3 linked regions of the Schizosaccharomyces pombe genome follow. The main gene of each other region encodes a partner of the protein of the gene in region 2 in a complex. Each region holds a gene or a part of one and is shown on either strand. Other genes may lie near its edges.

The links.
Region 1: mrp21 (region 2) and rsm18 share a complex: the UniProt entries of both Schizosaccharomyces pombe proteins name them as parts of the mitochondrial small ribosomal subunit.
Region 3: mrp21 (region 2) and cox24 share a complex: the UniProt entries of both Schizosaccharomyces pombe proteins name them as parts of the mitochondrial small ribosomal subunit.

The regions. Positions count from the first base shown.
Region 1 is NC_003421.2:717,309-727,292, reverse strand, and holds rsm18 (mitochondrial 37S ribosomal protein bS18m), read right to left. Parts: upstream 1,304-9,984; 5' UTR 1,284-1,303; coding exon 783-1,283; 3' UTR 501-782; downstream 1-500. Other genes in the region: SPOM_SPCC18B5.05C (phosphomethylpyrimidine kinase), read left to right, coding at 1-263; protein kinase Wee1, read right to left, coding at 2,426-5,059. UniProt on the Schizosaccharomyces pombe protein: Component of the mitochondrial ribosome (mitoribosome), a dedicated translation machinery responsible for the synthesis of mitochondrial genome-encoded proteins, including at least some of the essential transmembrane subunits of the mitochondrial respiratory chain.
Region 2 is NC_003423.3:613,048-623,353, forward strand, and holds mrp21 (mitochondrial 37S ribosomal protein bS21m), read right to left. Parts: upstream 5,127-10,306; 5' UTR 5,092-5,126; coding exon 5,016-5,091; intron 4,922-5,015; coding exon 4,632-4,921; 3' UTR 4,144-4,631; downstream 1-4,143. Other genes in the region: Cdc25 family phosphatase Ibp1 , read left to right, coding at 1-39; its8 (pig-N family GPI synthesis protein), read right to left, coding at 460-3,116, 3,269-3,419; U1 snRNP-associated protein Usp107, read left to right, coding at 5,307-5,325, 5,375-7,212, 7,262-7,492; ER uridine diphosphate-glucose transmembrane transporter Hut1, read right to left, coding at 7,588-8,556; DNA-directed RNA polymerase III complex subunit Rpc31, read left to right, coding at 9,285-9,917. UniProt on the Schizosaccharomyces pombe protein: Component of the mitochondrial ribosome (mitoribosome), a dedicated translation machinery responsible for the synthesis of mitochondrial genome-encoded proteins, including at least some of the essential transmembrane subunits of the mitochondrial respiratory chain.
Region 3 is NC_003424.3:4,757,787-4,768,360, reverse strand, and holds cox24 (mitochondrial 37S ribosomal protein mS38 ), read right to left. Parts: upstream 5,319-10,574; 5' UTR 5,283-5,318; coding exon 5,126-5,282; exon of another isoform or gene 5,084-5,125; coding exon 4,713-5,083; 3' UTR 4,139-4,712; downstream 1-4,138. Other genes in the region: exonuclease Rex3, read left to right, coding at 1-454; qcr8 (ubiquinol-cytochrome-c reductase complex subunit 7), read right to left, coding at 636-650, 754-967, 1,013-1,030, 1,220-1,251; prohibitin Phb1, read left to right, coding at 1,547-2,395; ypa2 (serine/threonine-protein phosphatase 2A activator 2), read right to left, coding at 2,854-3,912; splicing-associated factor Saf3, read right to left, coding at 5,487-6,554; SPOM_SPAC1782.02C (uncharacterized protein), read left to right, coding at 7,475-7,609, 7,710-8,060; proteasome assembly chaperone Ecm29, read right to left, coding at 8,315-10,574. UniProt on the Schizosaccharomyces pombe protein: Component of the mitochondrial ribosome (mitoribosome), a dedicated translation machinery responsible for the synthesis of mitochondrial genome-encoded proteins, including at least some of the essential transmembrane subunits of the mitochondrial respiratory chain.

The sequences.
Region 1 (9,984 bases), on a different chromosome or scaffold from region 2:
GTTGCTCTCTTACAGCTGCCATTGCATCGAATCTGGCTTGTAATATACCACCTTTGCAAGCCATTCACGAAGCTTTATATTCAATCGAGTGGGCCATTCAAAGGGTTCATAAAAAGAGTTCAGATCCCTATAAGAGTGCTCAGCTATTTACAGCTTTAGGTCATTCTTCTAAGTTCTCAGGATCTCTAATTTCGTTAAAGTCGGAGAATTACATACCACAAGCTGATTTAACTTCTGTTCTTTTATCTCATATACCTTCATGAAAAGCCCTATTGCATATATTTTGAACTAGCTCCATGATGCACTCATCGTTTTAATATCGTTCTATAAAACCCAATTCTTTTCTAGATGGATTTTTTCTTCTTTTGCATATAATTATTTGTTCTTCCCTCTCTGTCCTCTTTAGATAAGTAAAATAACTACTACTAGATAATTTTTTTAATACATTGTATCGACTAACGCTCCTCCTACAAAAAAGTTCAATCAAGCTAAATTAAAAATTAAAGATAACAAAGATATTATATTTTTAAAGCCATTAAAAAATGTTAGCCACTAATATTAGCAGCGGTTTATGATTTTGTGTCATGTATATTTTAATCCAAAAAAGACTATTCAAAACCAAAGTACACCTGAAATATTAATTAACGTGAGCTAATCATTTAAAAAGTAAAGTAGATCGTTTATCGTTCCTTAAGAAAAAAAAAGTAAGGGACAGTGGGTAAGTATATCTACCAATGTGATGAAATGAGATATAGAACGTCCTTGTTAATATTCAGTACAATTTAATTTTCCGAATAAACTGATTTGTATTTCGTCGGCATTATACCAGCAGCTCGAGCCCTTCGGATAGCCCTAGAAAGAAGTCGTTGATTTTTTGCTGTTAGGCCAGTATCACCTCTGGGTTTAATACGACCAAGTTCAGTAACGAATCTTGACAATATTACGGGGTTTTTCCAATAATTCATAGGGTTTTCGTTCACCGTCTTAAAGCAATCTTCTCTTACTGGTTCATAGAATTTGGCTTGATTTTTCGCCTTTACCGTTTCAAACAGTAAATCATTGGGAGAGTAAATATCACCTTCTTCTACGGAGGCTGATAAATATGATGGAATATTTGAGCGAACTCTTCTCTGAAATCCTACATTTGAAGATGCTTCAGAATTTCTCTCATTAAATTTTCGATTGTCCGAAAACCCTCTTCGCGTAGAGTTATTAGATTGTATGAGATTGCATAAAATAAATCCTCTGTTTGGAGCTGGAGAAAATATTCGTCTCCCAAGCATTTTTCTCCCGTGCTGTTGTCAAAGTAATATTTCAATGTTTGAAGGTGTTTAGTGAAATAATGAGACACTCGTTAAATAGTTTATAGCTTATGCTTGTGTCTGATAAATGAAAACGTGATGATACCTGAATTTTCTAACTTTTCTGTTTCAAAATAAATGTTTATTTAGATATGAAGTGTTAAACGGGTCATTAAAATCCTATACTAATTTGAAGGCATCACAAACTTGAGCATATACACAGCTTTCACAAGCATAAAAAAAAAGGGAAATTAAAAATTACAGAAGTGGAACTAAGCATAACGTTAACATTATTACTAATTATTATATGATATGATAATAATAAAAAATCTAACGGGTTATTAAACTTCGTTAGTAAATCGTGGCATTTTCCATAAACATAACCAATTATTTGCCATTCAGCAAGATCGTAAACTATGTACAAGAATAATAGGCAGTGTCATCGATCGATCTAAATTATTATGAAAACAGAAGTCAAAAAAAAGTGGATAAACAGTCGGGATTCGAACTTTATGCTAGCAAAGATGAGTAAATGCAACATATCAAGTCGATAACAAACGAGTGACATAAGAAATTAGACAATAAAATAGATGAAAAATAGGAATAATAACTCCTCTGAAGCCGAGTCTACATGTTAGAGAAAGGATTTGCGATATAAAAAACAATCGTTCACTAACATTTTTTCAGTAGACAAAGCACGTACAGTATGTGCGGCGTCAAGGCTTTAAATTAAGGAAACATTCTAGTTCCCCATATCAAGAACTGAATGGCATGTTTCCATAGCCATCATCATATTGCCTCAGATATAATTAACCGGATATTTGACTGAAGAAAACCAAATAGATAATCCGGTGAAAAGGCAAAAAATTAAATAGAAAAACTATCATCTAATAATTTTTTAAAATTTTTTAAAATTTAAGGGTTCGGTTAAAACGGACACGTATCCTTAAATAAAAAAAAAGCATTTAATGAACCAAAATTAATTATAAGCACCAATCACTAAACTTTTCGTTTAAAAATAATTAAAGTGTTTGCTTTTATGAAGCTAAACAGATTTTGGAAGCCATTCCCTTATTTCGCAATTTCGCAGTAATAAACATTGAGAACAAGAGTCTCTAAAAGGTTTAAACATTCACCTGCCAATCTTCCATCATTTGATCACCCTGGGGGTTAGAAGAAGATCCATGAATACCTTCATAAATTATGGCTCCGGCTTTTCTACGCATTTCAACCCAGCAAACCTCATCAGTTGCCAAAATTTGATCTATGGTAGGTCGGTTCCTAGGCTCTGGAGATAGCATCCACTCTACAACGCGATCAAGTCCCCCTTGGCCTATTATACTATTAGCCGGTGTTTCACGAGAAGAAGAAGTAAGAGATGAACCGTTGTCTGTTGAAGAAAGTCGAGGAGCATCTGATAAGTCACCGGAACGTAATTTCTGCCAAGACTGACCGTTATCAGGAAGAACAATGTTAGCAGCAGCTTCGAAGACTGTGATACCCAAACTGAAAATATCAGCAGGTTTATCATACAAATGGTTAGCAAGAACCTCAGGCGCAATGTATTCACAATCACCTTCTCTTTCCATGCCTCTCGGAACAGGCCAAACACTGGCCATTCCAAAATCACCAATCTTCAAGGTACCCTCGAATGTTATCATAACATTAGCAGGCTTTAAATCCAAATGAACATAATTTTTATGATGAATAAACTGTAGCCCAAGAGCTACTTCTACTAATATTTTCCATACCCTAAATTCATCGAGCCTTGAAAGTTGTCCTTGCTCTTCAAGAAAACGATCCAAACTACCATTTTCACACAATTCGACTTGCATATAAAGAAACCCCCCATGTTCCCATGAGTCCATAAGCTCTACAATGTGATCATGGCCTTTAAGGGCTCGTTGAATAGAGACTTCCTGAAGTAGTCGATTACGTTCTTTTGGTCCACTAAACTTTACCTTGAGCTTTTTCACTGCATACTTTAAAGTTTTTTCCACAGGGTCTTCAACTTGAAAAACCTCACTAAACTCTCCACTTCCTAGTAAAGTAACATTTCTAAACCGTGTAAGCAAATGTGAAGTAGATGATGATACTTTGGACGAGGTGAGAGCAGAAGGAAAGGATAATGTAAAGCTTGAAGAAGAGGGTTGAGATACATCAGCTTCTTCCTCCATGGCAAATGACATTTGATTATTATTTCTCGATTTGATAGGCGAAGGTTGCCGACCGTCCATGTGAATGGAAACAGTATTTTCAAACGCAAATGGGTTACGAGTAGGCGTAGCGGGACACCTCTGATTAGATAGAAATGGTAATCCATAGTTGTGAGAAGTTTTTACAGCAGAAGGAGGAGGATCGAACCTCAAAAAGTCCATGGAACTTTTCTCCAACTGAATAGTAGGAATGGAATTGTGATTTGTAGGAGTGTTTTCCCGTTGAATAAAATAAGAGTCGGTTTGTGTATTGGAAGGAGTCGAGGGTGATGGAGGCGAATCTGTGGAGGAAGAATGTGGACGAACAAAGGTAGAGGGTTTTGAAGGAGTACTAGGAGGGAGAGGTGTAAAGTTAATATTCTTTCGCGGACGATGTTGCTTGGATAAAAGACCTGTACTCATAAAAACTTGGGAAGGAGGTTTGATTTGTTGAAAGGGAGTAGTTAACAACTCAGATGAGGGTGGGTTAGGTAGAGTAGCATTGGGGAAAAGGGAGAATGAATTAGAAGAGGAGTTAACCATACTGTTATCAGAAAAGAGGGAAGATTCATTTTGTTGGGTTTGAGGATGTGAGCGATTAGAAGGGATGAAACTTTTCATCATAAATGATGCATCCTTAGAGCTATTTCGTGAATGGTTGTTAGATACGGCAGACTTAGTTTGGCTGGAGGCAAACCCAAGCTTGCGTGCAGTAAGTGGACGAGCGGTAGGAGAAAACAAAGAGGATTGAGCGGAGTTAGAAGGGAAATGATTAGAGGTAGTGTGTCGAGAGGATGGTATGGACGAAAAAAGGGTAGAAGGATTAGCATTATTTGAATTAGGAGGAGCGGGTGTGGAAGTCGATAAAAAATTAGGCGATGAAGTTGCAAAAGGAGAGAAGGAGCCCGATGCAAATGGAGAGATGTGGGAATTTGAGATACGAAAAGAATCAAAATTGTTTTTCTTTCGCAGCTTCTGAGCAGGAGTAGAAGGAGGTATGTGTTGAGAGCTTTGAAGGAAGGGAGATGGAGAGTGGGAAGGAGGGGACATTGCACCGTTTGACATGGAGGAAGAAAAGAAACTTCGTTTTACACCAGTAGATGCATTTTTATGAATGGGAAACGCACGAACGTCTGAGGGTGAAGGGGCAGTATGGTGGATGGGATTAGCCACCTGGGCAACAGGAGAAAGAGATGGAGAATCACCTAACCGAGAGGAAGAGCGTGATACCAGATTGGGTCTATCAAAAAGGGAAGGCCGCCGAGGTACAGGTTGTGCCTGTATCTGGGGTTGTGAATGTGTAAAAGAAGGAGGAGAAAGAGGGTGAAGAGGGGCGGCATGAGAGAAGGAAGGGGAGGAAGTGGTCTGTTTGCGAGGACCGAATAAGCTAGTGAAAGAGGTATTTGGCTTTTGCGAAGAGGTAGATGAAGTAGAATTGTTAGCATCATACAGGCTCGATGGAGTTGGAGGAGCGAGCAAAGTAGCACGATTTAGATTCATGGAGCGTTGGGACCGCCGTAAGCCATAAGATCTATGACTGCTGGTATTAGAAGAAGAGCTCATGTTTTCTGTATGGAAAATGTGGCAATTTAACAAAAAAATAGATATGAAATTTTTGATTTAATTAAATTGAATTGGAATGCAAACGGAACAGATGTACGAACGAACAATCGATAAACGAGGGAAGTGCGAAGCAACTAGGATTTCGTAGGTAAAGCGTAATGCACAGTTGTAAATGGAATAAAGAAAAGGGAGAAAACAAAATGAAAAAGAAAATTCCAACCGATATTCTGAAGGCCTACCACCTCAACAAAAGAGAAGAAATTGAGCCAATGCTCGTAATATTGTCAAAACGAAGGAGAAACGTCAAAAAAAGAGAAATGTTTAATAAATTAAAAATAAATAAGAAGAAAACAAAGGCAAGAGAGCAAAAAAGCTCTCGTTTGCTTCAACGAATTATGTCTATTAATAAGTAAAGTGGTATGTTGAGGTTACGACGAAGATATTGCACCCACCTACTTTTACTAGTACAAAGGGGGGGTTCAAAGCCGCTATAGCCTTAAAGTGTCCAATCCGGTATTAGGGTATGCGTTCCACTCCAGTATTCCTTTAAAGCTGAGTGAGTGAAATTAAGCGATAGCTTATTGTGGAGCACTGAGCCGAGACGTTCCCTAGAAGAAGCCAAAAACAACGAAAAAAGGTTAGCAAACACGGAAGGAAAACAAAGAAACGGAACCACAAAATTTTCAGCAAATTGAACGTCTAAAGCCTATAAAGAAAGAAGCAGATAAGGACGCTTAACAGCTGATTAAAAGGGAGGGGAAACTATTTTTCATAAATAAGGAGAGAATGCGAAAATCACGTCGGAAGGCCGGGTTGAAGGAGGAAGTATTATACCGAAACTGGGCAAAAAATCGTAATTCGTTGGTTAGTGATATTGCTTTCTCCTAGCTAAATATGTATAGTACAGCGTAGTGTAGTGTAGTGTAAGGTAGTTTTGGGATCAGAGCAGCGAGAAGTAGTGAGAGTTGGTGGTGAAAAAAATGTAAACAGAAACAGGAAACGAGTGGATGAGCCGAAACTACGAGTTTTTGAAGGAGATGGTTTTAATGAATGTCCCTTTTTCTTCTTCGCTGCTACAAAAGAAAAAAAAATGGGGAAAAGACAAGAAATATGAATAAGAATGGAAGTAGCTTACTTTTCCGATGGAAGGGAAATGTACCAAAGTAATGACGAAAAGGTCACACACTGGAGACTAACTAGAAGCGGTAAGTGCACGTTAGTATGTCGATCTGTCCATATATATAAAGTAAATAATCAAAGGAAAGATGTAAAATTGGAAATAAATGAGAAAGAAAAGATATGGAAATACGATCCCTAAAATAACATGCAAAAAACAGAAACGGTTCAGATGAATTCAGGCACTTGGCATGGTGAGTGGTGGAAAGAAAGACAGTGTGATGTTGATGAATGAAGGAATAACCAGTAAACAAATGAGAGATCCCGTTAGCGACGGAGACAAAAAAGCGGAAGGAAAACGAAGAGATGAAAAGAGGTGGTGTGAATGGTTTAGCCTGGATTTTGATTTAAAGGAGATGGTAAAAAAAAAAAAATTGTGGAATTAATGTTATTGTTGTTTTAGTAAAAGTAGTGGTGGGTCAATAGAAATAAAATTGGTTTCACTTTGCAAAATGACAATACAATAAAAGTCGTTTAAAAAAAAAAAAAAAAAAAAAAGGGAGAAAAATCACCTTTTAGTCTTTACATGATTCTTCTATTATCTATCGATTCGAACATTTAAGGGTTGCATGGGATAAAGCAGTGCTAGTGTTAAAAGGTAAATAGAAAAAGAGAAGAGAGAAAAGGAATGCAAAAAATTAACAGGGAAGGAAAAAAAGTGCCTCTAAGCATTCAAAAGAGAAGCTAAAATTAAAATAATAAACATGAAATGACTTAAAGAATGATAATTAAAGTTGTTTTATATATCAACGAATATTCTTTTTTCTTGAACATTAGGAAATTGTGTTAGGATTCAGATATCGAAAGGTATGGAAAAAAAAAGGGGGAGACGATAGGAGCAGAAGAAAGTGAAAGGGGGGCAAAGAAGTAAAAAGACAAGAATTAAAAATATTCGGATTTGCAAAAAAAGGAAAAGTCAAGTGTTCTTTTTTTAGAATCCAAACCATCCAAAGTGGAACATTTTAAGAAAGTACAGTGAGAATAATGGTAAATCAGATAGGCGAAGTATCATAGAATTTGTTAGTTACAATGAATGAAACAATCAATAGATAGAGGGAATGATTAATCATCTCAATCTTCTCTCGACATAGAATAAAATAGGTTTATTAAATATATTAAACCGAATTTAAATAGTTGCTCAAAAACTCATTTATCTGGCAAAATTTACGAAAACATTGTCAAATTGCAAGAGAAGCACTAGACTATAGCATAGCTGTTTGAAATTAAAAAAAAAAAATAAAAAAATAAAAAAATAAATAAATAAAACTTAAAAAAAGAAGAAGAAGAAAAGAACCGAAGGAGAAAAATATTTAAAATAAATTAAAAATATACACACATTTTTTTTTTTTTTTTTAGAGCCTACTTACTAATCTCTTTACACACACAAATAACACAGATTCATTTAGTGCTAGACGAACGAATCGAATGCAAGTTAATTCCTTGTTTGTCACATAAGGAGCTCTAAATTTATTCACTATTCATCACTAAATGATATACTATTAAATACATAGATGAAATTCATCAAAGTTATAAGGCAAAAGAATTTCCAGAAAATGTAGTCTGAATTAAGCATAACTTTCTTGAAGAACTACATAGGTTTCATTCATCATAATATCAATACACCACCTTTTTACTATTACCACTACATGTTTATAGATAATCTGCACTACCAATAATTTTCATAAACAAATACTTTTTTTTGTGTACTGTTTGCCTTTAAATTTGATGGCTGTTTCAGATTTTTTTTTCTTTTGTGCTTTCATTCAACTGTTCTGTATTTGTAATGTAAAAACTAATAACTTGGCCAACAAACAACGACTGCTTGTTCTTGTCACGTTTGGAATTCCTTGGACAGATTCATGATTTCAGTTTCATCCATTTTTCAGTTAAGGAAAAAGGTGGGAATTTACCTGTACTGGAAAATTAATCCACTCATTCATTGATACCATTCCACAATTATTTAACTTAACATAGGGTTTGTGTGGTATTACGAAGCGATTATTTGAAAGCTGGCGGATATATGACAAGGCGCAAAGTCCTAGTGCAAATTTGAAAGTAAGACAATAATCGTACGCTGACTAAGGTTGTTATTACTTAAGCAAGCTTACATAAGCACGATACACTACCGTTTATATTTATTGTAACAAGGTTATAATTGTATTATTGCTAAAATCGTTAATCACCCATAATGAGCCAAAAACTGGTTCTTGTCACCGGGATTACAGGATTTATTGGAGCTCATGTTGCTAAACAACTGCTACAAGCTGGATATCATGTGCGCGGTACGGTGAGAAGCATGGAAAAAGCGAATGAACTTGTTCGATTGAATCCTGATTTTAAGGATGAAGTGGAATTTGTAATTGTCAAGGAATTGTCGATCCTAATGCATTCGAAGATGCCATAAAAAATGTGGATTACGTTTGTCATGTAGCGTCTCCATTGTTTGTTGATAATATTACTGACAACAAAACACAACTCTTGGATCCAGCAGTTAAAGGCACACTAAGTGTCTTAGAGGCAGCTCATGGTGAGAAAAGTGTGAAGCGCATTGTGATTACTTCCTCTTTTGCCGCCATTATTAATCTCGAAATCGACGTTAATAGCGGTAAAGTGTATACGGAGAAGGATTGGAATCCCATCACGTATGAGCAGGGAATAAGTACGAAAGACGGAACCTTTGCGTATTGTGCGTCAAAGACTTGTGCCGAAAGGGCCGCTAGAGATTATGTAGCGCAAAAGCGCTCTTCGTTTGATATTTGCACAGTCAATCCTCCTTATGTGTTTGGACCGCCAATTCAACCTATGAAGAACATGGACTCACTAAACACATCGAATTTGGTGATATGGAGCTTGATCAATGGTTCCAAAGCCAATCCTTCTTCACCTTATTATTATTACGTGGATGTTCGCGATTTAGCAGCGGCTCATGTATTAGCGCTAGAAAACAAAAAATTATCGAACGGTCGAATGATTGCATGCAAGGGATTATTCACTTCAGAGGAAATTTGCAGCACACTTCGTAATCACTTTCCTGACAAGCAACAAGTTATTTCCAAGCCTGAAAAAGCGTCTATCAATCCTGGATTCATGGTATTGGATGGTTCTTACTCAAGGTCGATTGGATTGAAGTATCGCTCCGATGAGGAATGCTTTGTTGACACTGCTAAAAAGTTGTGGGAACGTGCTGAGGAGTTTCAAAAAAGTTAGAAAAAAAAATAAGAAAATGATTTCATGTGGCTCAGAGAGTCAATTGCTGAGGGTCGTCGAATTGGTAAACGTGATTATTACGAGGTATGAGTTAAACACAAATGTCAATAGAAAAATGAACGAGTAGAAGTTGGTTGGAAGAGAATTTAAATAAAAAAAAAAAAAAAAAAAAATTGGATGAGAAGAAATTTTAGTTACTAGCACATACACATGAATTCAAAATACGAGAAAGACACTAAATGGAATAAACGCTGGCGAGTTTATAGAATGTATCAAAATGTTTAGTAGCACACTATTTAGCGCAACAACAAAAAGATCGACACTTTTGTAATTGTGAAATACTGCAATGTGTCGCTGCATCGCTATGCCCGCATTCACGCTAGACGAGATAGTGGAAGTGGAAAATAGCGTTCACGAGCGAAGTGTATGCTACGAGGTGAATGGGTGTTTTTTTATTCCAAATTACGCTAGTTATCGCATTTTGTTTAATAAAATATTAATAAAATACAAAGCAGTGCGAAATGACACGTTAAAATGCTTAA
Region 2 (10,306 bases):
CGGTATGGTGGTCAACAAGGTCTTATCGAGTATGATTAATTGATTGTGCTTGAAAAGTCCTTTGACTTCTTCCTTGTCACTCATATAAATCCTGCTTTAAACTTTTTTATTTGGTACGTTTTATCCCACTCCGGGTTCATACTTTGTGTTTTCGCAACACCATTCGTTTGATATAATCCTTACAATCTGTATGGATATAAACTACATCTCATAATCTCCAAGAACCTTAGTAGTAGTTTGCATGCCTACAATTATACAAACACATTTTCTTTAAAATAATCCTTCGTTTATCAGTGTTTTATACTTTTAATATTTACCTACTTCGTTAATAAGGTCATGTATAGACATTCTCATAATCGGTTTACCAATATATATTTATAAAGAATAAGTAAGGGAAGAAAAAAAGAGAGAACGATGCGATACTTCATCGAGTATCAGCTATCTTAATATTATCTAAATTTAATTAACTTTCTCATGAATAGTGTAGGTAATATTTTTGCAAAGAATCGCGCTTGCATGTTCCAGAGCAGTAATAAAAAGTATCAAAAAGTTGCTGATGCAAAAATGACTAATACTCACACCAATGTCCTTCCACGAGCCTTCGTCCTTTACTAAATAAAAAAAGTTAATTGTAACTATATCAGCCATTCCAACTGCCAAAAAGAAAGTAACTTGCTGAATCCCTCCCAGTCGTTTGTTCATTATTCCAAAAGCTGCCGAAAGTGCGATAAATGGAACCAGAATAGTGTACATTAAGAGTGCACCTTGTGTTACCGGATTGAATACAGGAATAAAACGTTTCACCGAATCCAAAGCGAATGTGGAAAGTGAAGCCACGTTTCCTGTACCAAAAAATGCGACGTTAATAAATATGTAGAAGAAAAGGGAAATGCGAATATGAGAAAGAGATAAATGGAATTTTGCATCTTTCTTTCTGCTATATTCGGGATGTAGTTGTTCCGTATATTTTTGAAGTTCTGTTTCTAGTTCCATCCATAATCCTAATGTTATAAATAAAACAACATAGAAGAGTGCTTCAAAAGAAATAGATAACATGCACATTGTAGGCGAAAATGTGAGAAACAAAATAGCCAGACGGTCAAGAAAATAGTGTTTACAAGACCGAATATGATGACTTGGAATGATGTACGACGTTATGAAAAGTCCAAATGCAACTAAACGTAAAATTGGTGGTATGGCAATATTCCTTTGCAGACTGTCTGCAATTTTAAGCGTAACAGGGACAGTTGCCATAATAATAAGAACTTGTAAAACCAATTGTTTGTTTGTGACCGTTGAGCTATATTGAAATGCTTGATTTCGTCGGTAAAGAATATAAAAAACCCCAGCAACTGACATTGCAAATCCTCCAGCGAAAATAAATAATAACGATTCCTTTTTATTAACTGGTAAAATCGTAAAAAAGCATAATAAGCTCGTAAGCACTGACCACGAGACTGATATAGTTTTGTGAGAAAAAGCATAATCCGCATGAAGGAGCCATGGCCATGCGGCCAATCCCATTAAAATTACGGAAAATCCTTCGCGGTGAAAATAACTGTAAACGATAAATTGTAACAGACAGAGAATACACAACGAAATAAACAAAATTTTTAATAGAGAAAACCCATGCTTTTGCTTTGCAACTGTTAAAAAATTTTTGAAACCAAGTTTGGTATTTGGGAAAATTGAATGAATGAGTTGCAGAAATATGGTTGGGAAAAGAGCATACCCATAATAAAATGGTGGACTAGACTGGATATAAAAAAAGATGCAAATTAACAAAAAAGGAATATTAAATGCGACTCTCTTGACGACGGAAACAGGCTTTACTATTTTGGAGGATGGTTCTATGTTTAAGCTGAAGACAAAGCATATGACATATCCAATCCAACTCAAATAACCAAAGAAAACAATAGATCGAAGAAGAAGCCAATCGTAACGTTGTAGGTAACGTAGTCCAGAAAGAACCGTTTGGCTAAAGTGGAAACAATGCTCAATAGCAATTTCATATTCACCAGATTCTATGTCAGCAATAACTGAGTTGTAAAAGGATGCTTGTACCTCTGTATAGTTCCTCAAAGGAGAATATGGGCGAAAGAAAATACTAGTTTGATCCTTTGAGGCAGACTTTAAATTATATTGTTCACCAATTTCTAAAGCATTCATTAAGGCAACCTCAGCTTTGCGGCGAGAAGAGCAATCAAGATAATCCAAGGGTATTTGACCCACGGAATTCACAGGAAAATTTAAACCGACAAGGTAAGACATTAAAGCTGCAATATCTGCTTGTTGTATATCAATACGTTTTATCTCCGTCAAATTCCATGGCAAAGAATACTCGTCATGCCCATAATTCTTCTCATGAGTAGGACTTTGAATACCAGCACCCCAGGCAATGATGGGAGTACGTGTATTATCAAGGTTGCCATCACCATGACTTCCAAAGTCACTCATACCATGGTCTGCTGTAAAAACCCAGCTAGAGGCTCCGTCGTTATTGTAGTAGTTGTTCATCTTATCAACGAGTTCTTGAATTTTTCCATCTATATACTGTATGTTTTCGACATATTCAACTGAGTCAGGGTGTTTATTATGGCCAATTGTGTCAATGCCCAGTAAATGAAGGAAGAATACTATTTTATCCCGATGCAACATATCCCAAAGTTCCTTATCCTCTAAAGACTGAGCGAGAAGTTCATCTAGCCTATCAAAAACCCATTCGTCAAGAACAATTCCGTTGCTAGAGAAATCCTCCAATTCAGAAGAATACATGAATGTATCAACTCGAGATGGATCAGATGCACCTTCACTAAACATAGGCAAAATATCTTCGGATCCAAACGAATAAGTATGCCGACTCTGATTAAACACAGAATCGAAATTTACTGGATTTTTTTTCCAGCCTTTTGTGACGGCTGAAACATCTTCGTAAAAACCAGCTATTAGAGCAACATGTCCGGGGCGTGACTCGGTGGGAACACGAGTATGAGAAACACCGAAAGTACCGTTATTCTGAATAATTGATCTTAAAAATGGAGCGGCATATGTCTGCTCTTCTCCAATGACCTTTTCGGAATGTGGTTGTAATAGTTTATCAGGACGTAGTCCATCGCCTATAAGCATATTGGTTAGTAAAATAAGAAAAAGAAGGACAAGAAAAAAGTTGTACTATTTCTTGTTTTTTTTTCTAAATCCAAAACGAAAATATGACATTTTTTTCATTAAGCTCTATACACTAATTTCACTATTACAAATGTTTACTTACCAACAATTAGAAATAGGCGTTTAGCAGGAGCTTCGCCTGCAGAATACTGCTTCATGCCATGTATTAGAGGAGTTACGAAATAGATATCAAAAATGGATTTGAGAAAGACGACATGGAATAAAATCCCTAACAGCAAGAGGCGACCAAACATTGCGAAAATTTAAGCGTGAAACCACTACCACAATTGACTGGGAATACTAGGGGTTTTTGGCAAAAATTGGATAGATGCCAGGACGCTTCTTGGAAAAGAAGGATGCCCTAAACAAGGCAAGAAGTGTTTTGTTCTGGTGAAGTGCGTTTGAGTGTTGAGTCGTTACAAACATCAACAGAAGTCCCCTTTAATCTACCATTGGTTAAAATTCAGATGATCTACGCTCGATCTAATGAATAAGCGAACGCTAATGAATGTATACTGAGTTTTGTAATTAAGGATGCCGTGTTTGAATGCACTAATGAATAGTGGTAGCGCTCCATCGTATATTGTGAGCTATGGCCAATATGCGTAATTAGTTCTAGCTGGATGAAAGAGTAAATAATCAGAAATCTATTAAGGAAGTGATAAATTACTTTATGGTATGCAGTGCACAATAATGGGACTTATAGTCATCTGGTAATTAAGCAAAAAATGATTCTGTAAATGGATATTTTCGGTATTATTTTAATTTCCGTTGACAGAAATGTAAAATGGATGGTTATCATTTCATTGCTCAAATCCAAGATTAATGAAAATTCAGCGGTAAGCATATTTGGTTGTTACACGTTGAGAGTCGGTTTACTCATGACGATTATAATAAGATAAAGGGATACAACCATCAAATTGCTGCTACATGGCCAATAATAAAAAAATCATTTGCAATACGAAAGGAAACGAATTCATTTATTATAACATGCAGAAGTAATAACTTCCTGCGACCAGCATTAGTTTGAATAAATAGAGTAACAAACTCATCGATTTAACTAAGAAAATTGTTATAGGCTAGCAAAACAGAATAGTAATATTAGAGGGTAATGCAAACATTAAGCTCAATCTCGCAGTATTGTCAAACTGAAAAGATAAAAGAAGGTAGAGACAGTTATTAGACAATAAATCCTGTTAAGTAGAAAATCATAAGATAGGGGAGGGGTTAAGCAAAGATACCAGGAAAAATTTAGAAATGACAAAACAAAAAACGAATATTTCCCAAAAATGTCTAGCTCTTAAATCCGCGGAGAAGTAAAAAGCAATATATTATTTTACTTCAAAAGGGGGTTTTCGAGCATTCTCGTCTTAAATGAAAAGCTATGAGAACAACGATCTCCAAATACATTAATTTAATATGGATTTTCGTAACCAAGAAATAGAATGAAATGTTCGAAGAATCACTCAATAACCCCAACGACGCATGTTCTTTGCTAAGTTTACAAGTCGAACAATTCCAGCGCGGAACCTTGCCCTGTGTCTTTCTGAACGAACGCGGGATCGCTTTTCGGATGGTTTTTCATAAAATCTCTGTGAACGGAATAGCCTTGGCACATTATTCCTTTGACATATTCTATCAACTTGTCGAAATGCTCTTGTTAGACTATTTCCAACTGTCACACTTGCACCTAAATCTTTTGTTTCTGCTGCGGGTATCATAAAATGAAGCGAATCTTGGAACGCACCATGCTCCTCTAAATATCAATAAAGTATTAGCAGACAATAATCCAACAATCGAAAATCATATTCTTGAAAGACAATAGCAACTTCAATGGATTTTCTTCGTACCTTTTCTCTTTTGCAATTTCCTATTTGTATGTACCCATCTGACCCCTAGAACACCTGGGAAATAAGAACTGTTCATTTTAAATAGTTATTTTGCGTTTTCTTGGCAATTTGAGAAGCCTGAATCTCACCGCAGTACAACTGCATAAAGAATTCGTTAAATTGCCTTGAACATCGATTTTTTGCATTAGCGTAAAAGACATAAAATTCATAAACTAAAAATAGGATAATCACATTTACACTTCACTATATACCTTTACATGATACACATGAATCTGTTTTCCTCCAACAACTATGCAGCGGCAGAATACGCGTAAGTAATTTCAATTTCATTGCTAAAGAATTTATCTAATTTTATTTAGAGGCTGCCGGTATGCCAATGATGCCACAGGTTCCTATGGTTGGCAACGGCGTTCCATATGTCGTCCCAATCCAACCTGTATTCGCCCCTTTACCTCCTGATTACAGGAGCTTATACAAAAAATTGTATGGCCAAGGCGCTTTTTTGGTAGATAATCCTGTTGAGGCAAGTAGTCCCTATGATTTTTCGCAGCCAATTCTGAAGTTTGGTAAACTTCCCATAAAACAAGTTTTAAGAGATAATGAATCGCAACAAAAAGATAGAAAAAACTTACCCCGAAATCAAAAAAGTAATGAGATTCAGGAGAAACAGACGTTTCAAACACCTTCTTCAGAGAAGTCTACAACAGAAAGGGAATCGCGGCCGTTTGTCCCTCCAAATAGTCAACAAATGCGGCGGATGCTCTTTATTGGTAATATACCGAAAGAATTGGATGATTTTTGGATGGATAAAATTCTTCGATTGTCCGGGAAGCTGGCTTCTTGGCGAAGGGTTGCTGATGCAGATAACTCGATGACTTCGTTTGGATTTGCAGAGTTTGAATCAAATGAACAATTCAGTAGAGCATTAGAAGCATTAAATGATTTTGTTGTTCCACCTTTGTACGAAGGTGGTCCTTCAACTCGCTTGTCATTGATTACAGATGTTGAGAATGAGGGATTGTATCGTGAATGGCAAACGAGTCGTTATGCAAGAAATAAGCAGAAAGAGATAAACATTTTACAGCAAATTCGCTTTAACCTCGAAAGAATTTGTCAAGATATAGGCAATTTTGATGTCCGTTCTCGCATTGAAAGGGCAGCTCGACAGGCCCGAGAGAAAAACGAAAAATTACTACAAAATGTCAAAACTTCGGAAATTCCCATTAATGCTGCTGATTTAGAAGGAATTAATCCTGAATTATTACCGGTTATTGAAGAAGAAATACGATCCTTTCGCGATCAATCTGCTATGAAAAAACGAGAAAAACAAAGGTCTAAGGACGAGTATGCCAGTTTATATAAAGAGTATACACGAAAAGAACAAGAAAAGCTTCGAAAGCAAAATGATGATTTACAAAACCTTTTGTCAAAACATCGTATTTCACGTATCCCTATGTCTACAGTCAATGCCTTTTTAAGAGCAGAAGATAGCATTCCCGAGTCGTTCTCCGATGAACAAGCTTATTATGAAGAGAAGAGAAGGAAGGATCAATTGGAGGCTGAAGAGTATTACGCAAGGGAACGGCGCTGGATGAATCGTGAAAAGGCCCGAACTGCAGCTTTAGAACGAGAAGCTGCTCGTGAAGAAGAAGAACGTGTTAATAACACTTCCTTTGGTACTTATCTTTCGGAAAAATTAGCTTCTTTTGATGACGATGAGGAAGCTCGCGTATCTCGAGACGAATATTTTGTCGATCGTGCTGCTTGGATTAGACATCGTGCAGTTGCTCGTGCTCGAGAAGAAGACGCAGATGCTCTTGACAGAAAGGAGGAAGAAAGAGAACTACGTACCCGTGGAGAAGGTGCAACCGTTGAGACAGAGAATTATGTCGAAAATGGTAAGCTGGTGACTAGTGAAATGCCTCAACATGAAAATGGTCCCTTCAAAATCAAAATACAAACCAAGAAACCAGCTGTTCCTTCTGAAAGACGAGAATTTGGACTTCCGGAGAGACTGCTTTTGGAAGAAGAAGACGAAGAACCGCAAGGCTATTCTCCCAACCCTCAAAAACCAAAGCCTGCTATGGAAGAAAATGATGCCGAGAAGACGAAAAGACTTCGTTCACTTATTGAAAAGATACCTGTTGAAGCAGAAAGTCTGTGGGCACTACCAATTGACTGGAGCAAGGTTACTGAGGTTTGTGATTTTTTCAACTTTTATATGTATCTAAACTAACACATTATAGGATCTTCTAAAAGAAGAAATGCAAGCTTTTGTTACCAAGAAAATTATCGAGTATATCGGTATTCAAGAGGATTCACTTATCACATTTACCATTGATCATATCAGGCAACATAAAGGTGCGGAACAGTTAGTGTCTGAATTGGACCTTGCTCTCGCTGAAGATGCTCCAGAGTTTGTTAGCAAAGTATACCGATACTTGCATGTACTACTGATTTTACGTTCTGAAGCATAACGTACATATTTGGGTAAAGTTTTTATTTAATGGTGACGATTAAAAGTTTGTAATATGTATTTATAAGAAATTTTTTTAAAAAAATAAAGGCAAACCTATGATGCCTTTTTTTTCGCAGTAGAATTGTTGTTTAGTATTTTGAGGCCGGCTTCTAGGGAGATTCCCAAAAAGACCAATAAAATACCAAGCCACTGAATCGAAGATACAGTGTGATGAAAATGAAAAACACTAAGAAGCATGGTGAAAATTTTTCTTGTAAGTGTAATGGTAACGAGCGTTATGCTTCCAAATTTTTCAAGGGTGAAGAAAATGAATAATTGACCGACAGAACCTGTGCAAGCAAACAACAACATGTCTTTAAGGATGCTTGGATGTCTGTTTATAAAAGACAAAGGCTGCTGGTTGCAAAAAGGAGAGATTAAATACAGGCCATTTAAACATGCGATACCCAAGTTGACCGCAATCATCATGGTAACGCTTGATAATTTGTATTTACCAAAAACCTTGTCTTGAGTAGTATTAGTAATTCCGTCCATGAGCAAATTAAAAAATAAAAGCAGTAAGCCAATAGGACTATCATGCTCAGCATGTTTACCTTTGGAAGAAGTGTTTTGAAAATAACTAAAGATACTTACACCTGCTGTAATCATTGTAACAATCAGGTATTTGTGAGGAGGAAACTTTCGTTTGTAAACGAACACATGTAAAGCAATAACTGGAAGTAACTTGCATGATTTTCCCAGAATAACAGTAGGATAAGACAAATGAAACATGCTTGCATATCCAAAGTAAGAACTTAAGCTAGCCGATATGGCAATACTAGAAAAGTATCCTAAAAACTTAGGCTCTAGCAAGCCTCTAGCAGAAACACCATGAAACCAGTTCCAAAGCAACCCACAAAGGACTGTCATGAAGGACTGTGCTAAGCTAAGTAATGCAGGAGAAGAAAACCTTTCACCATCGTAAGGTCTTGTTATAATTTTCTCCTGCATAACTGCCCAAGAAAGAAATGAACCATAAATCCCAATCATGCAAACAAATAATTGTCGCATAAAGCCAGCCATTCTAAAGAAATTGATGAACCAAAGGTAAAAGGAAAGTAACAGAATTAACCAAAGAATGTAACTTTAACAAGGATAAAGCAAAAAGGGTCTTGAAAACTCGCTCAAGTGAAAGTGATAGTCGTAATACTTAAAACACGAAAATTAATACAGGAGTCTTTGTCTAATTTTCTCTAATAGGTTTACAACTTCAAGAATTAGGCAGCTCAGTTAGATCATCGTTTTCTTAGCTTTTGGTGTTGTGCCTTTTGGTTGAGTTTTCGAACACAAACACCCACACATAGCCAGACATTGGCAAGTACAAAGTGATTAATCAGAGACGCTTAATCACTTTTACATTGGTTATTTCTTTTTTGTTTTTTGTTTTAAAAAGCCGAGTTTCTTTCATCTATCTTTGGTGATCCTCTTTTAAATTTACTTGATATTTTCGTTAACCAACTTTTGGCACAATTTTGAAGCCCTATGGTTTGGTTTCTTCTCAAAATCTAGTTTTTTATTTAAATATTCTACATTTATTTAGTTCTTTTTGAAACCTATCACTTCTCATAGCTAAACTACAGCTCTTTTTAATTTTTTTCAACTTTTTGTTACTGTGGTGGGGTAATTGGCTTATTATTTTTGTTCCAATCAATAATTCAGAAAGAAGTATTTAAAAGTTTTTTCCATTGTTAATGTTAAACTCTCTGTCACACTAGTTCGAACGTTTGAACCCCATTCTTACAATCATCACAATGCGACGTGGAGCTCGTGGATCTACAAATTTGGGAGGAATGACATGGCAAGAAGTACTTGAGTTTAATGCCAATTCCACACCAACAAAGTTATACCCTGATCGCGATATACCACTTCAACGATCTATTCGACCTGAGGAGTTACTTGAACTCCGTTTTTACAAAGAGATACGAACTTCATTTCTAGATGAAAGTGCATTTTATATTCGAAGGAATCCAATTAGTGTTGTACAAAGGAATGAGGATGGACTAGTTCGTTACAGTGATCGAAATAAACCCAAACGGAAAAACGACAATTTATCGCTTTCAGACCTTGATTTGGATCCCAAGTTTTTTCCAGAGGAACTTCGCAAGACTCTGGGTGCAGCATCTGCCACCGGTCGTAAGAGAGCTCGAAGAAAACTTGATATGAAGACATTCATAGATTTCACTATCAAAGCACAAGATTTGAAAGATGAGTCGTCTGAGGCTGCTCATCCAAATATTGAAGAAGAACCAGACGAAGGGTTGGAAGAGGAAGATGAAGATTTTGGAGATGATGATGACAACGATTATGGTGAGAATTACTTTGACAATGGTGAAGGAGATGATTATGACGATTATGATGGTGATGAGGGTGCTATTTACGAATAGGGTAATTTCCATTCCATCCAAAATGCCAAGGCACCCATTGTCAAAGTTGTGTTTAGGGCTTCATTTTATTCAATATAATTGGATAATAGACCACTGGCCACGAGCTTATTCTTAAAAGAGATCATTATGCCTTCTTCATTTTTAGCAAACAGTGTATATGTATGCGAGGTTTTGCGGTATATTACATTGAAACAAAAGGATTAAAGGATATCATAAAATAGAAAATGTATTTAATGGATGATAATCGATAAATTAAACGAAAATCAAAACTTACTTTAGAAAACTACCTTATAGTAAATTGATTACAGTAAAATGGATGCTACACACACACGAATATATGCTACAAGTTCATCGAGAGTAAAGTGAGACGGTTAAAAACAGTGAATAAT
Region 3 (10,574 bases), on a different chromosome or scaffold from region 2:
CTACACTACGAACGGGATGGAATTGGCTCGTTTGACGGTGGTAGCAAAGGAAAGCATTATTATGGATGTGTTTATAAAGCCTAAAGGCAAAATTTTGAGTCTCAATACTCGATTTAGCGGGATACATGATGCCAAAGAATTAGAATCAGGAATTACCATGGATCAAATGTATATTAAAATAAAGGAACTTGGCATGAATAAAAATACAATTTTAATAGGACATGGTTTAGAAAACGATTTGAATGCGATGAGGCTTATTCACAAACGTGTCATAGATACTGCTCTTCTATTTACGCATGCCAGAGGCCCGCCGTTTAGATATTCCTTAAAATATTTGACTAAAAAATATCTGGGAACAACAATACAAACTTCTACACACGATAGCGAAGAAGACGCTGTTTCAGCATTACAACTTGTCTTTTATAAGACAAAATCAAATGAAAGTCAAAACTAAGAGTAATAATGTTTTCAAATTCAAGAGATAGATCATATCACAAAGTAATTTTGTTGGATATATAGATTTCTGATACTAAGCATAATGAGAGGAGAGAGATAGTAATTGTAAACCCAATAAGGAAAGGGTAGGGAAGAATTTTGTAAATCCTTCTACCAAAATGAATACTTCATTCTCATCATTATTCCTCCACCAACTAAACCACATATTAGTAAAATGACAATTATTGACACAATTTAGAAGTATAGAAAAATGCTGCAAACCATAGCTGCTTATCGATTCTTCAGTCATTAACTTACGTGTCTTCCATGTTTGGAATTGAGGAATTCATTACGCTCCTTCCCCCAACAGTAAATATAGTAAGCTATTCCAAACGGAATTGCTACGTATAGACCTTCAGTCATGACGCGACGAAACATATTTTGCGTAGAAGTTTTGAAGAAGCCGGCCATTGGTCTCTGTTGAAATGGGGAAAGGGAATATGTTATGATTCCTTTTTGTTTAGGTCCACCTCTTATTAAAGTAAGTAAAAATGTATCAAATTGTTATAGCACTTACAGATGGCCCCACCATCCTCTATTCATGTGTTAGTATAAATAAAAACGTTCAATGATATTCTCAGCAGCTATTTGAATGTATATAACTTCGCTGACGAAAATGGCTTTACGAAATAAACACCAATTGTGTCCACCGTCTCACGCTATAAGCGTCAAAGAAAAGTCATATAACCCATTATAAACAGAAACTGCTTTAAGTTGCACTTACAAATAAGTTTTTCCTCCAGCAGCACCACCCATTTTGTTAAAACAATAATATATTGATGATTGCCGTTACAAAGTCAGATGTTTGTTAAGGGTAAGTGTGCGGGTCTGCTAGACCAATAATAATTCAGACGTTTACAAATTCTTGGTTTTTTATTCAAGATTTTTATTTAGTTTTACTATTAAAATTCTAAATAATAAGATCATGTATTTATTAATCATGAATATAGATTTTCCTAGAGGTTGCAGTTAAGTCATACTTAGTCTTGCTCAAACGGACTTCCCTTTCAGTTTGGTCTTTTAGTCCAGCGCTCAACGTACTATTAAAGAGATGGCTGTAGTACTGGAGAGAGTTGCACGTTATGCAATACCAATAGGTATTGGATTTACTCTATTACAATCTTCGATTTACGATGTACCGGGGGGAAAAAGAGCAGTTTTGTTTGACCGTCTGTCGGGTGTGCAGAAACAGGTTGTTCAGGAGGGCACACACTTTTTGATTCCATGGTTACAAAAGGCAATTGTTTATGATGTACGCACACGTCCACGAAATATCGCAACTACTACGGGTAGTAAAGATTTACAGATGGTTTCTTTAACATTGCGTGTATTACACCGTCCCGAAGTTGGAATGCTTCCTCAAATTTACCAAAATTTAGGCTTAGATTATGATGAGCGTGTCTTACCTTCTATTGGAAACGAAATTTTAAAATCCGTAGTTGCTCAGTTTGATGCAGCAGAGCTCATTACTCAAAGAGAAGTAGTTTCTGCCAAAATTCGCCAAGAACTAGTTCAACGAGCTACCGAATTTGGAATTCGGTTGGAAGATGTATCCATTACTCATATGACTTTTGGAAAAGAATTTACGAAAGCCGTAGAGAGAAAACAAATTGCTCAACAAGAAGCCGAGCGTGCTAGATTTTTAGTAGAACAATCCGAACAAGAGCGACAAGCTAATGTTATTCGCGCTGAGGGTGAAGCAGAAGCGGCTGATATTGTTTCCAAAGCACTTGATAAAGCCGGTGGCGCTTTAATCCAAATTCGTCGTCTCGAGACAAGTAAAGAGGTGGCTACTGCACTTGCTAATAAAGGTGCACAGGTCACTTATCTTCCCTTTGGAGCTGGTTCTAATGCCCAAAGTTCCAGTGGTTCTGGGTTGCTTCTTAATGTAAATCCTTAATTCATTCCATGTATCTGCTTCTAGCAGCAAATTCATAAGGTTTATTCGAGCTCCCCTAAACATATCAGCTTTATCTTATTATCCCTTTAAAATTAAAGAGATGTTATATAAAAGTTGTACTTTTCCACGCATTATGATTTTGACAAATTTGGGTTCTTAACGAAAATAAATATTTCCAAATTTTTTTATTTCAGAACTCAAAATTATGATTTGTCACCTTATTTTTAAAACGACAATTATTTTGGGTTTTGTGCTGATGAAATGGCTATATTAATGCTGCTAAAATTAGGGTTGATTGTTTATGTAGAGTTTTTTTAGCATAATGAAATAAACAAATATGCTGTACTGTTGGTAATTTTATTGACTTTAGATATTACTTTTAAAGTAAACAGACAAATATGGGTATCGCATAAATTCGTGAAGATTCGTTAAAAACGCCTTTTTTCCCTCGAGAATTTTTAATCAAACGGAATCCTACTTCCATTATTTTTGGCAGCAGAGATCGCACTTGGTATCTTGATGCCACAACAGTCAGCATAATGAGAATGAACATGTGTCACCTCAGAATCATCACCGTCTTGGGGAGCAGGAGACATCCCAGGTGAAGCTGGGATTAAATGGCCAAAAAGATAGTGCTGCATTATAGGAAGTTTACCCAAAACTTCTGCTCTATACATTTTTATCATGCCTTCGTTGACTTTAGACCAAGTCTTTACGGCAGAAATATCGTCAATCATTGGAGAATGGAAACGTAGTGAAACAGAAGGCTTCAACTTATTTAAAAAGTAAACATAACCTAAGTACATATAATCAGCGCGACACATCTCCAAAATTTCTGGATCTCTAACATGTTTGGGACGCAAATATTTATGATTAACCAACTGAGCTGCACCAAACAAAAAAGGGAGGAAATGAAAATCATCTAATCCCCATACACCATGAGATCCTGCTGGTTCGAGAGTATAAAAAATTTGCAAAGACCTCATCAATTCAACATACTTAACAAAAACTCGAACGACCAATGCTGGATAATCATTTTTAGTAAAAATGCCTAGTTGCTTTAAAATTAGTAACCATGACATAAAGTAAAGTTCATGACCACTTCCATAATCTATTCGCTTTCTGTTTCCAAAGCTTTCATAAAAATATCGACCTGCCTCCATCGCCGCATTATGCTCAATTCCAAATACTTGGTGCAACTTTGGTGTTTCAATGTATACCTGATCGTAAAATGATTGAAATGCAGGATTGCCAAACCTCGACCCCATATTATCAATTGCAGGATTTTCCTGTTTAATTTCTCCAACTCGATCTAGTATATTTAATACATGCTCTATTGATGAGCTTTGCGGAATTGAAGCTGAAATAGGCTTGTCTTTCACAGCTTCGTCAAGATCACAAATAAACGAATCAATTAACTTATAAGCATCTCCTTCTTTAAATAATTTTAAGTCTTCATTGTCTAAAATTCGTCGGACAGGAACGAAACACCGGTTTTGCTCTTCTCTAGAAAGCATGTTGGCATAACTTGATCGGTTAAGACAAGATTAACAAAAGCCTTAAAAATTATACAGTTGGACGCTCTTCAATATTCCTTATGTTGTTATTTGTTATGTCAGTCGTCAGTACGTTACATTTCATTATTGTAATTAGCTATAATCAGTGAGAACATTTTTTAAAGAAAGAAATGTAGAAATTTTTTTTTTTTTTTTCAAAATTGTTTTAAGGAAATAATTTCGACTACTAAAGTTATTTTTCATACCAATGTGTTCTTTTATTCTATGTGTAAACAGATACAGTGTAATAAGCGTTTATTAATTGCTTGATATACAACAACATATTTATGATTCACATGAAGTGTACATGTCATTAATTCTAGCCATCGACAAATATTTAAAAATATAAAAAGGAAGGGCCAAAGATGGAGGTATTGTAATAGTACTAGACATGGGAAGCTAATTGATATGAAGGAGATAGCCGGCATAAACAAATAAGTGCTCCGCTTTTTGAAAATAGTTAAATAAACGCGGATTGTTTAATGATTTTATCGCAAGAAAAAAGCACCGACCTAATTGTCTCATACCGGAACATTAAAGGATAGAATATACATGAGAGAAAATGTATTCCTTGTTAAAAAAGCCTGAAGTAAACATTAAATGATTAAACGTTTCTTAAGAAAAGAGAGGTACTGATATCCAAGTTAAAAATAGAGACTCATAAATGCTTGCAGCCATTTTGAAAATGCTTGTTTACAGCTTAAACTCTCAATCCAACCAACCTAAAAATATAACCCGAGTAAAAATAAGTTCTAATAATCTCATTTTCCTAGACGTTTCCTAAGTGCTCGTTGTCGGCGTAAGCGCTTTTTGAACTTATGTTTATTCATTTTCAATTTTCTTTTTCGTTTGACACTGGTCAAATCTAAAGGTGTAATAGAAATCAGCTTATCACATATTTGTTCCCATACTTGAGTAGATATACGAGCGGGTTGAGTTTGAGTTACGGATCCAGATGCAGAGAATGATTGAGCATACAAATAGCCATCCTCTAAAGATAACACATATTCCTGGGGTTGATCTTCCTCATCCTGCGATTGCGAAACTTGTGTTTTGGACTCAACTTTAGGCACACATATTTGATTAGCTGACAAAGGTCGATATCCAGCAAAGAAATTTGCTTTTGCGATTTCTACGCAATGAAGTTAGAAATAGAAGTATTTAATTTACTTACGACGATATGAAACGTGTGAAGTTGTAGGAACCGTTGGTAGGTTATATTTCGACCCAACTTCGGGAGAAGCTGAAACATGCCAAATCGGTATGGGACTACGCAGTGAAAGGCCGTTTAAACCTTTTAATATTGTGGAAAGCGCACCTCTTCGTAACATGGGTGACCAAGGCGAAAAATGTGTTGTACTCTTTGCACTGCGGGAAGGTAAGAATTGGTATGCTTATGCTAAACACTTACAAAGAGGAAGGGTGGTGCACATTTGATATTAATTCAGAAGAATGTTGTATTTAAATATATATGTGATGTTAAATAAAATTAATGCTAAATGAAATACAAAATTGTCCTTATGTATATACAGATGTTAGGTACGTTTTCGCTTCGAGAGTGGGCTGTCAGAATGAAGTCCACCGAGACGATGCAAATTTTTTTGCAAGATTGGGTTTTTAGGATCATACCAAGCAGATCCTTCTTTTGTAGTATCTTCATTTGCCAAATGCGTCCAGCGTGTTTGGCCTGCCTTCGCAAAAAGATCTCCCCTAATTTGCATAGGTTTGGGTAATAAATCTTTATTAAGAACTTCCCCTTCTGTGGCTTCTGAATAATCTCTTTTACTCACAATATCTTCGTTTTGATAGAATGCACCCTTATGATAGTACTTTTGTAAGAACTGCATAGATGACTTTTTCTTTCCTCTCCGACTTGCTTCAGCGTCCTTCAAATCTTGGGCTTCGCGTTCCTCAGAATTCATTAATCTTCTTTCTTCAATTGCCATCTTTTCCCTTTCTAATTCCAGTGACTTTTCCTTGTCTCTCTTTTTCCTAAGCAAATGCCTTAATTTCCATAATTCATATTCACTTTGCGGATCAATTCCATCGGTATCATCGATATCATTTAATAATTCATTATTGTTTTTAGTTTCTTTCAATAGTAATTCCCGTTTTATAGTCTCTTCTAATATTTTTTGTGAAGTCACTTTTTTAAGCACCTCAGTATCTTCTTCATTGGCTTTTGCCCGATTTTTGATGACTTTACTAGTAAATTTTGGCGGAAGAAGAAGTGTCCGCCTTCTCAGCTCCATCTCATATTCCGAATCAGAAGAGTCTTCTTCTTCAGAACTAGATGCTGCAGAGTTAGATCCCCCTTCTGCCGATGATGCGTCAGTCTCATATTCTGAAGCAGAGTTATCAATTGTTTGGACTGGGTTAATGTTTTGGAAATTAGAAGACGTTTTGGTTTCAGATATTCCTTCTTTCTCGAATACTGGAGTAATAACATGTCTTGATGAAGAAATCGAGTTTTCTTGATCATGTGAATCGGAAACTTCTTCATAATCACTTTCAGAAGAAGACTCACTTTCCAGCCCTTCCAATCTACCAGAGCGATATCTTGAAATAGGTTTATGGGGTATCAACGGTGTATCTATTGGCATCTTGACAAACGCTTTTTATTAAATTGGTTGGCAAATTTCAATCAACCGGTAAAACAATATAAATATGAATTGGAAATTATATATCTATTATCTACCACCCAAGATAAAACTGTATATCTGATATAATAGATTGTATGTATGCAATTTGTGGTACGGTGCCACTTACAAAGAGGTTTCGGGGCACTTACCAATGCGAGAACAAATATCACAAGCACACATTCTAGTCAAATGAACGAGAATCCTGGCATAATTTATATTTAGCTGAAAGTTTGTAAAATTGAATTGCCTTTTGTAAAATACATCGTTTCAGTTTATGGTCAATGTAATGTATTTCCAAAAACAACCGTTGTCAACCCTTTGAGACCTTCATAAAAATTATTTAGATGCTACATACAATATATCCTTTGAAAATACCCTCCTATAATTAGTAAAAATGATGTACTTTTCAAGATCCTAAAATTCGTTGAAGTGGTTTTAAAAAATATAGAGTTCTTGACTTGAAATCTGTCAGCATCTCACTTTTTCATACCAAAATAACTTTGAAGAAATAAAACCAAACGTATACTTGTAATTTTGTTATATTGATTATATTTCTCAATTCAATTCACCTTCTAATTCTAAATACAGATAGCGAGCGCTGGCAACTAGCAACAATAGTGAAGTTAAGTTCAACTATCGTAATATAACCATTAATTGAGAGTACATACTTCCCAGAGCTTGATACTACCGTAAAATAGCAAAAATCAGGTGCATATAATTGGTGCGACGTTGAGAAAACAAAAGTACGAACGAAATATTCATCGAAACTCTCTACATTTTCTTTCCGAAAAAAACTTATTAGTTTTACATTCTCTTTCTAAACCACGGAGTACAGTCTCTAGAAGTTAATAGTTGCTCATTTGTCGTCTTCTGATTTCACGATGTTGTTCTCTTTTCGAGCGATAGTTCTTTTTTATTGTTGTATGCTAACATTTGCTGGCATTGGATTTTTATGGAATCCCAAGTTTGTAGTAGAAAGTGGACTGGTCGCGTTAATTGGTGCTTCTATGGAAGTTGTATGTGATTATAACTTTATTGTTTTAGTAGATAGTATTTTTTTTTTTTTTTTAATTTCTTGATTAATGTTTGAAGTGATATCTGACCATTATAATTTAGAAACCATTGATAGTAACACAAGACAACTTATCGACTCTTGCATTGTCCGGCTTGGTATTTTTGATTCTTGGAATGATTTATACTATCTCATTGTTACAAAGCAATTTCCTGTTCTTCAGTGGAATTACTCCAATTCGTGCTATATTTGACTTTATCCTTACCGGCTTTATTTACCTCAAAAAAGAGCATATCGCTAGCAACAGCCTTACTTTTACTTTTGCATTTTGCGATTTGATGTGGCAGTTTTGGATGTTTGCAGCAATGAGCGAAGAGAGGGCTAAATACTTGAAAAACCAAAAAAAGGCCGAAGAATTAGCCGCTAGAAAAGCACGTGAAGTTGAAGAATCTTAAAAAAAAAAACCAAGTGACTGGCATCTAGTATTCTTCACTTGTTGTTTATTTGTTGTAAAAGCTATTATTATCGTTATTGGATTTTCAACATCAATCGCTTACATTCTAGGTTTAAAATCAAATATGAATACATTAGTCAAAGGTTTGTATAAAATATTCTTTAATTAATCCTTTACAATGTTAGCATTAGAAATGAGTGTTTAGAAAGTTCAAATGGCTGATCAGCTTTATCACTAGCTATAAATATAATGAAGCTAATTTCTTAAAACACTTAAATAATTTTCGCCGAAGATGACTTCAGCATAATCTTTTGCTTTTGGTGACGGATTGTCTTCGTAACAACGATAAAGAATATCTTTATACAGTAAGAATTCCTCGTTAGACATTATCTTTTTTAAGTGAGGAGCATTTTTCAGAATTGCTAATTTCACATTCCAATGTAAATAATTTTCATCAAGGGCATTTGACAAGTAAGTTAGCAACATCTCATTACAATTCTTATTTCCAGGTCTGCTGGAATTAAACATGGCATAGACGCTATTGCGCTGAAGCGCAATTTTTTCCTCAAGATTCAATTCATCATCTTTATCAAACCATTCCTTCTGCAAAAATGTACCACATTCATTTAATGATAGTTCATACAAATCAAGCTCTCTATAATTTTCATCAGATAACAGTTCACCAACACTTTCCATTGCATGGCTTTTGTAAACAATATTGCGTCTCTTAAATTCTCTAACAATCACTTGGTGAACTTCTTCCATTTTTTGCGATTTAATGAACTCAGGATATTTAATTAAAAATTTAACATAAGCCTCAAGCAGTAATTCCTTCCCAGGCCAGCTTTTATCTTTCATTGTTTCATTTAAAAGCACGTAGATATCATTTTGTCGATAAGTGAGTCGCGAAGTATTGACAAATTCCAATAATGCAGCAGCAGCAGGACGTTTGACATCCCATTTTGTAACAATTAAGTTTTTTTGGATAAGAAGGATAATTTCTTCCGAATACAGGTTCACACTGCTTCCGGCAGATGAAAGTTCATCCCATGCTTTACTTAAAACCCCATTTATCGAAATGGAAGAAGAATGTTTCCCAAAAAAAATGAAAGGAAAAAAAAGAGAACCAAGATTAAGGAAGACGTCGGGTGCGTATCTCGACGCATACACGGTCAATTTGGAACTGATTATTTGTTCGTTGGTATTTCCATCGTAGAATTTATCGATGATTTCTTGACAAGTTTGTGAAGCTATTTCCAACGGGCAAACTCGTAACAAATAGCCAATAGCAGATGCAAATGCATCACTTACTGCAGCATTTCTATCAAAGCAAGAAGATTTCAAGGATTGAAGCAGCTTTGAAGCAAACTGCTTGACGAGTGGTCCACGACGAATTACTAAAAGCATCACCACTTGGGCGCTGCCTATTTTGGTAGGTACACCCCCAGGTTTAGCAATCATTCTATTTAATATTGGATATAATGTTTGCATTGAGCTTTCATCCAAAAGGCCGATACACTTCTCTAGCGTATCCATCATTGAAGAGCTCTGAACGGCTGACGTTCTGGCGTTGTCAATATTTTCTTGTTTAATGCTGTAATTTTTGGCGTGAAAATCCAAAAAGGTAGCAGCTTTTGATTCATACTCTGTCAAATATTCAAGCATAACCTGCATAATGGCCGGCACAAACGAAGTCAAAGTAGAATTGCCAGTACGCACAAGTTCAGTGATGGTAGAGTATGTAAGTGAACGAACTTCTTTAGCCTGATCATAAGCGTGTTTTAATAGAAATGGTAAAGCTACTGAAACAATCCGTTTGCCTTTGCAAATTCCGCTTGGGCTAGTATTGTGTGAAGTCTTCTCCAAAGATTGAATAACTGATCTTGCTAAAAGCTTACAAAGTGGAAAGGACGCTTCCCTAACGCTCTCTTTAATATCATCAAGAGTTCGAAAAGACATGTTCCATATATCCTCTAATTGATTTAGATACTCGGTCACAGGAACATTAGAAAGAAGACTAACCAAAGTGTTTACACTGGATTCCCTATCTCTCCAAGATCTGCTCCCCATAAACTCGAGGCAATCCTCCACTAAGTATTTACGATGAGATGCCAAATTGAGATCTGAAGGTACTAATGTGTCCCAAATTTCACCCATTGTTTTGGCAACATCAGGATTAGGGTCATGTTTAAATCTATAAAGCTTTTTTAATAATGAAGAGCTTTTAGAAGTATCAAATGAAAACGTCTTTCTTTTTTGATCCTCGGGAATACCTAAATAACTTATACCAGATGCCAATCCCTTACGGGCTTGCCAGAGAGAACTGTTACCTGCTATGCTCAAGAATGAATAAATCAAATCAGGATTACCACTCTCGGATGCTAAAGAACAGATATCCTTATAGGTGGCTACAGTACCTTTATTTGTAGTGAAAAGGGCAGTATCTGCGTCCAAAGGAGCTTTGGTTTTTTCATCAACGCGGTCAGCAGCAATTGTGCTTATCAGATTATCAGTA